3 linked regions of the Pelodiscus sinensis genome follow. The protein of the gene in region 3 binds, or shares a complex with, the protein of the main gene of each other region. Links are inferred from orthologs where the notes say so. Each region holds a gene or a part of one and is shown on either strand. Other genes may lie near its edges.

Region 1 (3,741 bases), on a different chromosome or scaffold from region 3:
GTAAAATCTGGAGGGGTTGGTACCATGGGGAGAGGGGAAGCTGAAGGGGAATTCTTGGTGCCTAGGGGGCTGAATCCATGGGGGCTGCAGAGGAATGCCTGGGGCCATGCTGGGCTTTAGGGGGCTGGATCCATGGGGGCTGCAGAGGAATGCCTGGGGCCATGCTGGGCTTTAGGGGCCTGGATCCGTGGGGGCTGCAGAGGAATGCCTGGGGCCATGCTGGGCTTTAGGGGGCTGGATCCATGGGGGCTGCAGAGGAATGCCTGGGGCCATGCTGGGCTTTAGGGGCCTGGATCCGTGGGGGCTGCAGAAGAATGCCTGGGGCCATGCTGGGCTTTAGGGGGCTGGATCCATGGGGGCTGCAGAGGAATGCCTGGGGCAATGCTGGGCTTTAGGGGCCTGGATCCGTGGGGGCTGCAGAGGAATGCCTGGGGCCATGCTGGGCTTTAGGGGCCTGGATCCGTGGGGGCTGCAGAGGAATGCCTGGGGCCATGCTGGGCTTTAGGGGGCTGGATCCGTGGGGGCTGCAGAGAAATGCCTGGGGCCATGCTGGGCTTTAGGGGCCTGGATCCATGGGGGCTGCAGAGGAATGCCTGGGGCCATGCTGGGCTTTAGGGGGCTGGATCCATGGGGCCTGCAGAGGAATGCCTGGGGCCATGCTGGGCTTTAAGGGCCTGGATCCGTGGGGCCTGCAGAGGAATGCCTGGGGCCATGCTGGGCTTTAGGGGCCTGGATCCATGGGGGCTGCAGAGGAATGCCTGGGGCCATGCTGGGCTTTAAGGGCCTGGATCCGTGGGGCCTGCAGAGGAATGCCTGGGGCCATGCTGGGCTTTAGGGGGCTGGATCCATGGGGCCTGCAGAGGAATGCCTGGGGCCATGCTGGGCTTTAGGGGGCTGGATCCATGGGGCCTGCAGAGGAATGCCTGGGGCCATGCTGGGCTTTAGGGGGCTGGATCCATGGGGCCTGCAGAGGAATGCCTGGGGCCATGCTGGGCTTTAAGGGCCTGGATCCGTGGGGCCTGCAGAGGAATGCCTGGGGCCATGCTGGGCTTTAGGGGGCTGGATCCGTGGGGGCTGCAGAGAAATGCCTGGGGCCATGCTGGGCTTTAGGGGCCTGGATCCATGGGGGCTGCAGAGGAATGCCTGGGGCCATGCTGGGCTTTAGGGGGCTGGATCCATGGGGCCTGCAGAGGAATGCCTGGGGCCATGCTGGGCTTTAGGGGGCTGGATCCATGGGGCCTGCAGAGGAATGCCTGGGGCCATGCTGGGCTTTAAGGGCCTGGATCCGTGGGGCCTGCAGAGGAATGCCTGGGGCCATGCTGGGCTTTAGGGGCCTGGATCCATGGGGGCTGCAGAGGAATGCCTGGGGCCATGCTGGGCTTTAAGGGCCTGGATCCGTGGGGCCTGCAGAGGAATGCCTGGGGCCATGCTGGGCTTTAGGGGGCTGGATCCATGGGGCCTGCAGAGGAATGCCTGGGGCCATGCTGGGCTTTAGGGGGCTGGATCCATGGGGCCTGCAGAGGAATGCCTGGGGCCATGCTGGGCTTTAGGGGGCTGGATCCATGGGGCCTGCAGAGGAATGCCTGGGGCCATGCTGGGCTTTAAGGGCCTGGATCCGTGGGGGCTGCAGAGGAATGCCTGGGGCCATGCTGGGCTTTAAGGGCCTGGATCCGTGGGGGCTGCAGAGGAATGCCTGGGGCCACGCTAGACACTAGGGGGCTGGATCCATGAGGACGGTGGGGGTGCAGAGGCGGTGCTGGGCGGCGAGGGGGCTGCCCAAAGGCGGGAGGGCGATAGGGACATGCCTGGCGCAGAGGGGGCTGGGAGGACGTGGTTCCTGCTTGGGGCGGGGCTGGGAACCGCTGATGGAGCCCGGGACGCAGCAGGCCTGGGGCCGCCCCGGCACTCACAGTGCTTCGCCGTCCGGCACAGCGACTCCGCGAGCTTCTGCAGCTTCTTCCTGTTCATGCTGCTCTCAAGCCGGCTGTCGCCCCCCTTCTAGGAGCCGCACGCTGTCACCATGGCAACAGAGCACAGGTGATCAGCCAATCACAAAGCCAGAGCCGGGGCCTCTAGCTGCAGGGCGGAAACTCATGAGGTGTCGTTGCCCAGCAACGGATTCGTGCCCAGGTACGGGAAGGGAGTGGGGCCATTTCTCCTCAGAACCCCGTTCGCACCTCCTCAGCTCCCGTGTGCACGGGCCCTCTTGTGGAGAGCGGGACTCCCTTCCATGGCCCTGCTCCTCCACCACAGGCTCGTGCCCACTCCCGCTGAGCCGCCGGGCACCTACTCAGCCTCTCCGGCCTGCCGGGAAACCGCCCCCCCACCCTCCCCCAGCAATGCAGCCGCTCCCCGGCCCGCAAGTGCCGCTTAGAGGCTGTTAACCTGGGGAAGTAAAACTCGCTCATTCCCCTGCAGACCTAGAGTTGCAACTTGCCAGGTGTCCGGTTTTGAACTGGTCAGTCGGGTATTTGAGCTTTCTGTCCCTGAAAAAAATGGAGAAAACACCAGACATATAAATGTTCGGTATTTTCTACTTAAATTTTATCATCATCATGAGTAGCATGCTGCCTGGCTGGAGAGACACTCACACAGTAGAGAGGAGGAGGGAGGGGCTGGGCTGGGGCAGGATGGCATGCCCAGGGCCAGACTCGCCTGTGCACCCTGCCAGGACACTACATGGGATAGGCAGCACCCCAGGATCTGCATGCTCCCAGGCCAGCCCCACTCCCCCTGACTCCCTCCCAGCCAGCCCTACTTCCCAGCAGTCAGTTCCTTCCCCCGCTCTCCCATTGCCAGCCCTGCTCCCCGCAACCCTCTCTTGGCCAGCCTCACTTCCTGCCAGCTGTTCGCCCCCCCCCCCCCCCCGGCCAGCCCCACTCCCCCCGATCCCCTCCTGGCCAGCCCCAATCCCCTGCCGGCCGCCCCCATCTGAGATCAAGTGCATTTTTTTTTAAATTTGGTAACCGTACCTGCAGTTGGGTTGTCTACACTGCACGGTAGGGCAAAATAAGATTGGCTCAAATTGCATTTATTTCCATCTTATTTCAAAATAGCTTATTTCCCCATATTATTTAGAAATAACCCGTTATTGTGAAATGTCCCTTATTCCTTGTGGAATTAGATTTACAGGGATATCAGAATAGCAAATCCGAAATAACAGGCTTCCCGTATCCCAAAATAGCATTGCAGTGTAGACGTAGCCTGAGTTGCAAATCTCTGGGCACTAGGGGTCAGATAGTATAAAACAGTGGTCCCCAACCTTTCAAGGTTGCCGGGCGCCAGGGGGCGGGGCCGTTCGCCCACCGGGCGCCAGGGGGCGGGGACACTTGCACCCCAGGGGCGGCCCCCCCCATAGCCGCATGCCCAGGGGCAGCCCCCCCCATAGTCGCATGCCCGGGGCGGCGCTCCCCCCGCCTAGCGCCGCGCGCCCGGGGCCGGCGCTCCCCCCGCCTAGCGCCGCGCGCCCGGCGCTCCCCCCGCCTAGCGCCGGCGCTCCCCCCGCCTAGCGCCGCGCGCCCGGGGCCAGGCCAGCCCCGAGCACCTGGCGGGCGCCTGGAAATGCCCCCGCGGGCGCCATGGCGCCTGCGGGCACCGTGTTGGGGACCACGGGTATAAAAGTTTTGTTCTAGGCTTGCACCTTTTAGTGCCTCCAACTCCATTAACTACGCTTGACTGCAGCTTTTGTTTATGACCAGTGAATAGGAGGCAGGAAGTGGGGCTCGCACTCTTCATCTTATT
Region 2 (3,741 bases), on a different chromosome or scaffold from region 3:
TTCTGTGCACCACACCCCCCTCCACAAGTGTCACCCCCCCGCCTCTGTGCACCACACCCCCCTCCACAAGTGTCACCCCCCCGGCCTCTGTGCACCACACCCCCCTCCACAAGTGTCACCCCCCCGCCTCTGTGCACCACACCCCCCTCCACAAGTGTCACCCCCCCCGCCTCTCTGCACCACACCCCCTCCACAAGTGTCACCCCCCCGGCCTCTGTGCACCACACCCCCCTCCACAAGTGTCACCCCCCCGGCCTCTGTGCACCACACCCCCCTCCTCAAGTGTCACCCCCCCCGGCCTCTGTGCACCACACCCCCCTCCACAAGTGTCACCCCCCCGCCTCTGTGCACCACACCCCCCTCCACAAGTGTCACCCCCCCGGCCTCTGTGCACCACACCCCCCTCCTCAAGTGTCACCCCCCCCGCCTCTGTGCACCACACCCCCCTCCACAAGTGTCACCCCCCCGCTTCTGTGCACCACACCCCCCTCCACAAGTGTCACCCCCCCGCTTCTGTGCACCACACCCCCCTCCACAAGTGTCACCCCCCCGCCTCTGTGCACCACACCCCCCTCCACAAGTGTCACCCCCCCGGCCTCTGTGCACCACACCCCCCTCCACAAGTGTCACCCCCCCGGCCTCTGTGCACCACACCCCCCTCCACAAGTGTCACCCCCCCGCCTCTGTGCACCACACCCCCCTCCACAAGTGTCACCCCCCCCGCCTCTGTGCACCACACCCCCCTCCACAAGTGTCACCCCCCCGGCCTCTGTGCACCACACCCCCCTCCACAAGTGTCACCCCCCCCGCCTCTGTGCACCACACCCCCCTCCACAAGTGTCACCCCCCCCGGCCTCTGTGCACCACACCCCCCTCCACAAGTGTCACCCCCCCGCCTCTGTGCACCACACCCCCTCCACAAGTGTCACCCCCCCGGCCTCTGTGCACCACACCCCCCTCCACAAGTGTCACCCCCCCGCCTCTCTGCACCACACCCCCTCCACAAGTGTCACCCCCCCGCCTCTGTGCACCACACCCCCCTCCACAAGTGTCACCCCCCCGGCCTCTGTGCACCACACCCCCCTCCACAAGTGTCACCCCCCCGCCTCTCTGCACCACACCCCCTCCACAAGTGTCACCCCCCCGCCTCTGTGCACCACACCCCCCTTCACAAGTGTCACCCCCCCGGCCTCTGTGCACCACACCCCCTCCACAAGTGTCAACCCCCCCGCTTCTGTGCACCACACCCCCCTCCACAAGTGTCACCCCCCCGGCCTCTGTGCACCACACCCCCCTCCACAAGTGTCACCCCCCCGGCCTCTGTGCACCACACCCCCCTCCACAAGTGTCACCCCCCCGCCTCTCTGCACCACACCCCCTCCACAAGTGTCACCCCCCCGCCTCTGTGCACCACACCCCCCTTCACAAGTGTCACCCCCCCGGCCTCTGTGCACCACACCCCCTCCACAAGTGTCACCCCCCCGCTTCTGTGCACCACACCCCCCTCCACAAGTGTCACCCCCCCGGCCTCTGTGCACCACACCCCCCTCCACAAGTGTCACCCCCCCGGCCTCTGTGCACCACACCCCCCTCCACAAGTGTCACCCCCCCGGCCTCTGTGCACCACACCCCCTCCACAAGTGTCACCCCCCCGCTTCTGTGCACCACACCCCCCTCCACAAGTGTCAACCCCCCCGCTTCTGTGCACCACACCCCCCTTCACAAGTGTCACCCCCCCCCGCCTCTGTGCACCACACCCCCCTCCACAAGTGTCACCCCCCCGCCTCTGTGCACCACACCCCCCTCCACAAGTGTCACCCCCCCCGGCCTCTGTGCACCACACCCCCCTCCACAAGTGTCACCCCCCCGCCTCTGTGCACCACACCCCCCTCCACAAGTGTCACCCCCCCCGGCCTCTGTGCACCACACCCCCCTCCACAAGTGTCACCCCCCCCCGCCTCTGTGCACCACACCCCCCTCCACAAGTGTCACCCCCCCCGGCCTCTGTGCACCATGCCCCCCCCCCCCGCTTCCTGCCCCGCATCAGCATCGCCAGCCACTGGGGGGGGCCGGGGGGCGCGCTCATGAATATTCATAAGGACGGAGCCGCTCACGTTGGTGAAGCAGACCAGCGCCTTGCCGTGCTCCCCCCGCCGGCTGAGCAGCGTCCCCTCGGCCATGAGGCTGGGGAAGGTCCCGCTCTGCCCCTCGCCCTCCGCGTCCTCCATCGGCCCGGGCCACTGCTTGACATCCGCTGCCTAGCAACCGCCGCCGGACTTCCGGGGGCGGGACCGGCCCCGCCCCGCGCGTGGCCACGCCCCCAGACAGCTTCTCGCGCAGGACCCGACCTGGCAGGCGCCCGGAGCTTCTGCCCCCTCCCCCGCCAGCCCTCTGCCCACCAGCTCCCCATTGCCTGGTGCTTTCCCCCTGCCAGCCTCTGATACCCCCCACTCCCCTCCCCCCCCTTATCTCCTTCCAGCCCCCTGACACTCCCCACTCCCCTCCCCCCATTGCTCCCCATTGCCTGGTGCTTTCCCCCTGCCAGCCTCTGATACCCCCCACTCCCCTCCCCCCCCTTATCTCCTTCCAGCCCCCTGGCACTCCCCACTCACCTCCCCCCCCATTGCTCCCCATTGCCTGGTGCTTTCCCCCCTGCCAGCCTCTGATACCCCCCCACTCCTCTCCCCTCCCCTCTCTCCTTCCAACCCCCTGACACTCCCCACTCACCTCCCCCCCCATTGCTCCCCATTGCCTGGTGCTTTCCCCCTGCCAGCCTCTGATACCCCCCCACTCCCCTCCCCCCCCTTATCTCCTTCCAGCCCCCTGACACTCCCCACTCCCCTCCCCCCCATTGCTCCCCATTGCCTGGTGCTTTCCCCCTGCCAGCCTCTGATACCCCCCCACTCCTCTCCCCTCCCCTCTCTCCTTCCAACCCCCTGACACTCCCCACTCACCTCCCCCCCATTGCTCCCCATTGCCTGGTGCTTTACCCCCTGCCAGCCTCTGATACCCCCCCACTCCTCTCCCCTCCCTTATCTCCTTCCAGCCCCCTGACACTCCCCACTCCCCTCCCCCCATTGCTCCCCATTGCCTGGTGCTTTCCCCCTGCCAGCCTCTGATACCCCCCACTCCCCTCCCCCCCCCCATCTCCTTCCAGCCCCCTGACACTCCCCACTCCCCTCCCCCCATTGCTCCCCATTGCCTGGTGCTTTCCCCCTGCCAGCCTCTGATACCCCCCACTCCCCTCCCCCCCCTTATCTCCTTCCAGCCCCCTGGCACTCCCCACTCACCTCCCCCCCCATTGCTCCCCATTGCCTGGTGCTTTCCCCCTGCCAGCCTCTGATACCCCCCCACTCCCCTCCCCCCCCTTATCTCCTTCCAGCCCCCTGACACTCCCCACTCACCTCCCCCCCCATTGCTCCCCATTGCCTGGTGCTTTCCCCCTGCCAGCCTCTGATACCCCCCACTCCCCTCCCCCCCCCATCTCCTTCCAGCCCCCTGACACTCCCCACTCCCCTCCCCCCATTGCTCCCCATTGCCTGGTGCTTTCCCCCTGCCAGCCTCTGATACCCCCCACTCCCCTCCCCCCCCTTATCTCCTTCCAGCCCCCTGGCACTCCCCACTCACCTCCCCCCCCATTGCTCCCCATTGCCTGGTGCTTTCCCCCTGCCAGCCTCTGATACCCCCCACTCCCCTCCCCCCCCCCATCTCCTTCCAGCCCCCTGACACTCCCCACTCCCC
Region 3 (3,741 bases):
CTCCTGGGTTCTCTGCTAGCTCTGCGAGGGGAGTGGGGGCTAGTGGTTAGAGCAAGGCAATGGGAGCCGGGACTCCTGGGTTCTCTGCTAGCTCTGCGAGGGGAGTGGGGGCTAGTGGTTAAAGCAAGGCAATGGGAGCCAGGACTCCTGGGCTCTCTCCTAACTCTGGGAGGGAAGTGTGGTCTAGTGGTTACAGCAGGAGCAGGAGCAGGAGCAGGGGCCGGGGGGGCAGGACTTCTGGGTTCTATTCCCCAGCCCTGGGAGGGGAGATGGGGTGAGAGCTCAGAGCAGGGGTCCAATCTATGGATGCTGCCGTCTTGCCTCGCCTTGCTGCTGGGATGGGGTGTGTAGGGCAATAGGAAAGCAGGCCCGTGTCTGACAATCTTCCCATCACGACATCCTGTGCCCGGAACACCCCTGCCCAATCAGGCGCCGGGCCCTGGCAACAGGCCGCAGCGCCGGCTGTGATGGGACAAACACGGGTGGTTGGGTGGGGTGACAAGGTTTGGTGGTTTCCGGTGCTGGGGTGCCGCGTGGTGTGTGGGGCTGTGAGCAAGAGCTCTATGAGTCACGCAGCCCCCACCCTCCACTGAGCCCGCCATTCGTGCAGCTGTTCCCGTCCTTAGCATCCTGCTTCCCGTATGCCTGCCCCCTTGCTTCCCTTTGCCCCTCGCTTCCTGCCAGTGCACCTGCCCCGGCTCCCCACCGTGCACTCCCCACCATTGCAGCCGGCCCCCCAGCTGTGCACTCCCCACCATTGCAGCCGGACCCCCACCGTGCACTCCCCACCATTGCAGCCGGCCCCCCACCATGCACTCCCCACCATTGCAGCCGGACCCCCACCGTGCACTCCCCACCATTGCAGCCGGCCCCCCAGCTGTGCACTCCCCACCATTGCAGCCGGCCCCCCAGCTGTGCACTCCCCACCATTGCAGCCGGCCCCCCACCGTGCACTCCCCACCATTGCAGCCGGCCCCCCAGCTGTGCACTCCCCACCATTGCAGCCGGACCCCCAGCTGTGTGCGTGTTTTGTGCACGTGCCTCAATGCATCCAGCCCCAGCCGTGCACCTGCTCCCAGCCCTCCATCCACTCCCCATTACAATTCCCCCCAGCAGAGCAGGGAGGGACCGCGCATGCGCGGGAAGTCGGCTAGGGGCGGGAGCAGCGGCAAGGGGCGGGGTTTGCACAGCGGGCGATGCCTTGGCGGGGGAAGGGGGAAGGGAGGAAGGAGGGAGCTGTTAGTCCGGCGCATGCGCAGTGACGGCCAGGCCCTACTCAGAGTTAATTCAGGAGCCTGGAGGAAGGAGGGACAACAGGCTCCGCCCCCTGTCCTGGTCCCGCCCCCTGGCCTGCTGGTGAGACACCCCCCAACCCTCCAGAGCGGGGGTGCAGGGCCTGGGAGTGACCTGCTGTGTCCTTGGTGTGACAAGCCCTTGGTGTGACCTGCCAGGTCCCTGGCATGACCCGCCGTGTCCTTGGCATGACTTGGCGGGGCATTGGTGTGACCTGCCGGGACCTTGGTATGACCCGCTGTGTCCTTGGCATGACTTGGCGGGGCATTGGTGTGACCTGCCGGGACCTTGGTATGACCTGCAGTGTCCTTGGCATGACTTGGCAGCACATTGGTGTGACCTGCCGGGACCTTGGCATGACTTGGCGGGGCATTGGTGTGACCTGCCGGGACCTTGGCATGACCCGCCGTGTCCTTGGCATGACTTGTGACGGCCTTGGCATGATCTGCCGTGTCTTTGGCATGACTTGGCGGGGCATTAGTGTGACCTGCCATGTCCTTGGCAGGACTTGTGACGGCCTTGGTGTGATCTGTCATGGCCTTGGCATGACATGTGGGGGCCTTGGTGTGACCTGATGGAGTCCTTGGCATGACTTGTGGAGGCATTGACATGGCGAGGCTTTGGCGTGGCTTGTGGGGGTGTTGGCGTGTCCTGCCATGTCCTTGGCGTGACTTGTGGGGATGTTGGTGTGACGAGGCCTTGGCATGACTTGTGGGGGCATTGGCATAACCTGCCATGTCCTTGGTATGACAAGGCCTTGCTGTGACCTGCCAGGTCTCAGGCATGATTTGTGGGGGCCTTGACATGATGTGGCAGGGCATTGGTGGGACCTGTTGGGACCTTGGAGTGACCTGATAGATCCTTGGCAAGACAGAGCCACTGAGACTTTGGCATGGCCTGTTGAGTCTGGTGTGACCTGCCAGGTCCTTGGCATGACAGAGCCACTGAGACCTTGGCGTGACCTGCTGCAGCCTTGGCATGACAAAGCCCCTGGGGCCTTGGTGTAATCTGCTTTGGTGTAATCTGAGAATCCTGGGTGTGACGGAGCCTCACTGGGGCCTTGGCATGACTTGCTGGGGCCTTGGTGTGACTGGACAGGGCTTGGGTGAGGTGCGGCTTTGGTACGACCTGTCAGGACCTAGGTATGGTTGGGCCTTGGTTTGCCATCGCCGTCTGCAGTGGGGGCGGGGCAGGAGCGTCTGGGGCCACGGCGAGATGTGACCGTGTTTTGGCGTGACCTGACGGTGTGTTGCCATGACAGCCGGGGGCAGAGCCTTAGCGTGATGCCCAGGTGAAATGAGCAGCAGTAGCGCCCCCTATGGTTGTGATGGAGCTGCTGGGGCAGTATCATGGGTCCTCCCTTACCCCATGATCCCAGGCTCTGCTGCTGCCCCTTAGCTCCTCCCCCACGCCCTGGCATCCCCCACAGTGGAGTGGGGTGCCCTGATCCCAGCAGGACTCCACCCCAACCTGCCATCTTCTGCATAGGCACCTGGGAGCTCATTAACTTGGCAATAAATTCTTTCCTGTTCACCCAGCCCTCCCACCTGCTCTAACCACTGCGCCCCACATCCCTCCAAGAGCCAAGATAGAACCCAGGAGCCCTGGCTTCTCCTCTCCCCTCCGCTCCATAGCTGAGGGTGGATGGGATAAATAAGGGTGTGTTTGGGATTGGGGTGGAGTGCTGGGGGAAGGTGGGGATGGGAATGGTTGGGACAAGGGGGCAAGGAGAGGTGGGGCTGGTGGAGGGAATAAAAGGGATTTTCCAGTGTGGCTTTCTTGTTTCTCCTAATCTGACGTGTTCCCCCTTTTTCTCCCCCCACAGGGCTCCATCCTCGCCCCCATTGGCTGAGAGATTTCTGCTTCCTGGAGACGGTTGCCAACAACTCGGGCAGTGAGGGGAGGGCGGCGATGCTGGCAGGCGAGGAGAGGCCGGGAGTGATCCCCGTGCCCCCCCGTGCCCGGCAGGGACTGGGTCCCCACCGAGCCCACTGACCACCCCATCACCCGGACTGGCTGCTGGAGAGCGAGGTAAATCCCTGCCTGCAGGGGTGGGAGGCTCTGGGTTAGGAAGGAGATTGTACCCCAGATCTCCCCTGAGCCGTGAACTGCCCCCCAGACTCCCCCCGAGCCTGAACTATCCCCCCAAACTATCCCCCAGACTCCCCCCGAGCCTGAACTATCCCCCCAAACTATCCCCCAGACTCCCCCTGAGCCTGAACTATCCCCCCAGACTCCCCCTGAACCTGAACTGTCCCCCCAAACTATCCCCCAGACTCCCCCAAGCCTGAACTATCCCCCCAAACTATCCCCCAGACTCCTCCCGAGCCTGAACTGTCCCCCCAAACTATCCCCCAGACTCCCCCAAGCCTGAACTATCCCCCCAAACTATCCCCCCAGACTCCCCCCCGAGCCTGAACTATCCCCCCAAACTATCCCCCAGACTCC

The links.
Region 1: ODAD1 (region 3) and CLXN share a complex: the UniProt entries of both Homo sapiens proteins name them as parts of the outer dynein arm-docking complex. The link is inferred for Pelodiscus sinensis from reciprocal best matches to the Homo sapiens genes ODAD1 and CLXN.
Region 2: ODAD1 (region 3) and ODAD4 share a complex: the UniProt entries of both Homo sapiens proteins name them as parts of the outer dynein arm-docking complex. The link is inferred for Pelodiscus sinensis from reciprocal best matches to the Homo sapiens genes ODAD1 and ODAD4.

Annotation. Positions count from the first base shown.
Region 1 is NC_134712.1:213,648,167-213,651,907, reverse strand, and holds the start of CLXN (calaxin), read right to left. Parts: upstream 2,307-3,741; 5' UTR 1,969-2,306; coding exon 1,911-1,968; intron 1-1,910. UniProt on the Homo sapiens protein: Component of the outer dynein arm-docking complex (ODA-DC) that mediates outer dynein arms (ODA) binding onto the doublet microtubule. Seems to regulate the assembly of both ODAs and their axonemal docking complex onto ciliary microtubules.
Region 2 is NC_134739.1:9,762,314-9,766,054, forward strand, and holds the start of ODAD4 (outer dynein arm-docking complex subunit 4), read right to left. Parts: upstream 2,270-3,741; 5' UTR 2,229-2,269; coding exon 2,115-2,228; intron 1-2,114. UniProt on the Homo sapiens protein: Component of the outer dynein arm-docking complex (ODA-DC) that mediates outer dynein arms (ODA) binding onto the doublet microtubule. Plays an essential role for the assembly of ODA-DC and for the docking of ODA in ciliary axoneme.
Region 3 is NW_027465849.1:3,918,013-3,921,753, reverse strand, and holds the start of ODAD1 (outer dynein arm-docking complex subunit 1), read left to right. Parts: upstream 1-1,228; 5' UTR 1,229-1,356; intron 1,357-3,118; 5' UTR 3,119-3,324; intron 3,325-3,741. UniProt on the Homo sapiens protein: Component of the outer dynein arm-docking complex (ODA-DC) that mediates outer dynein arms (ODA) binding onto the doublet microtubule. Involved in mediating assembly of both ODAs and their axonemal docking complex onto ciliary microtubules.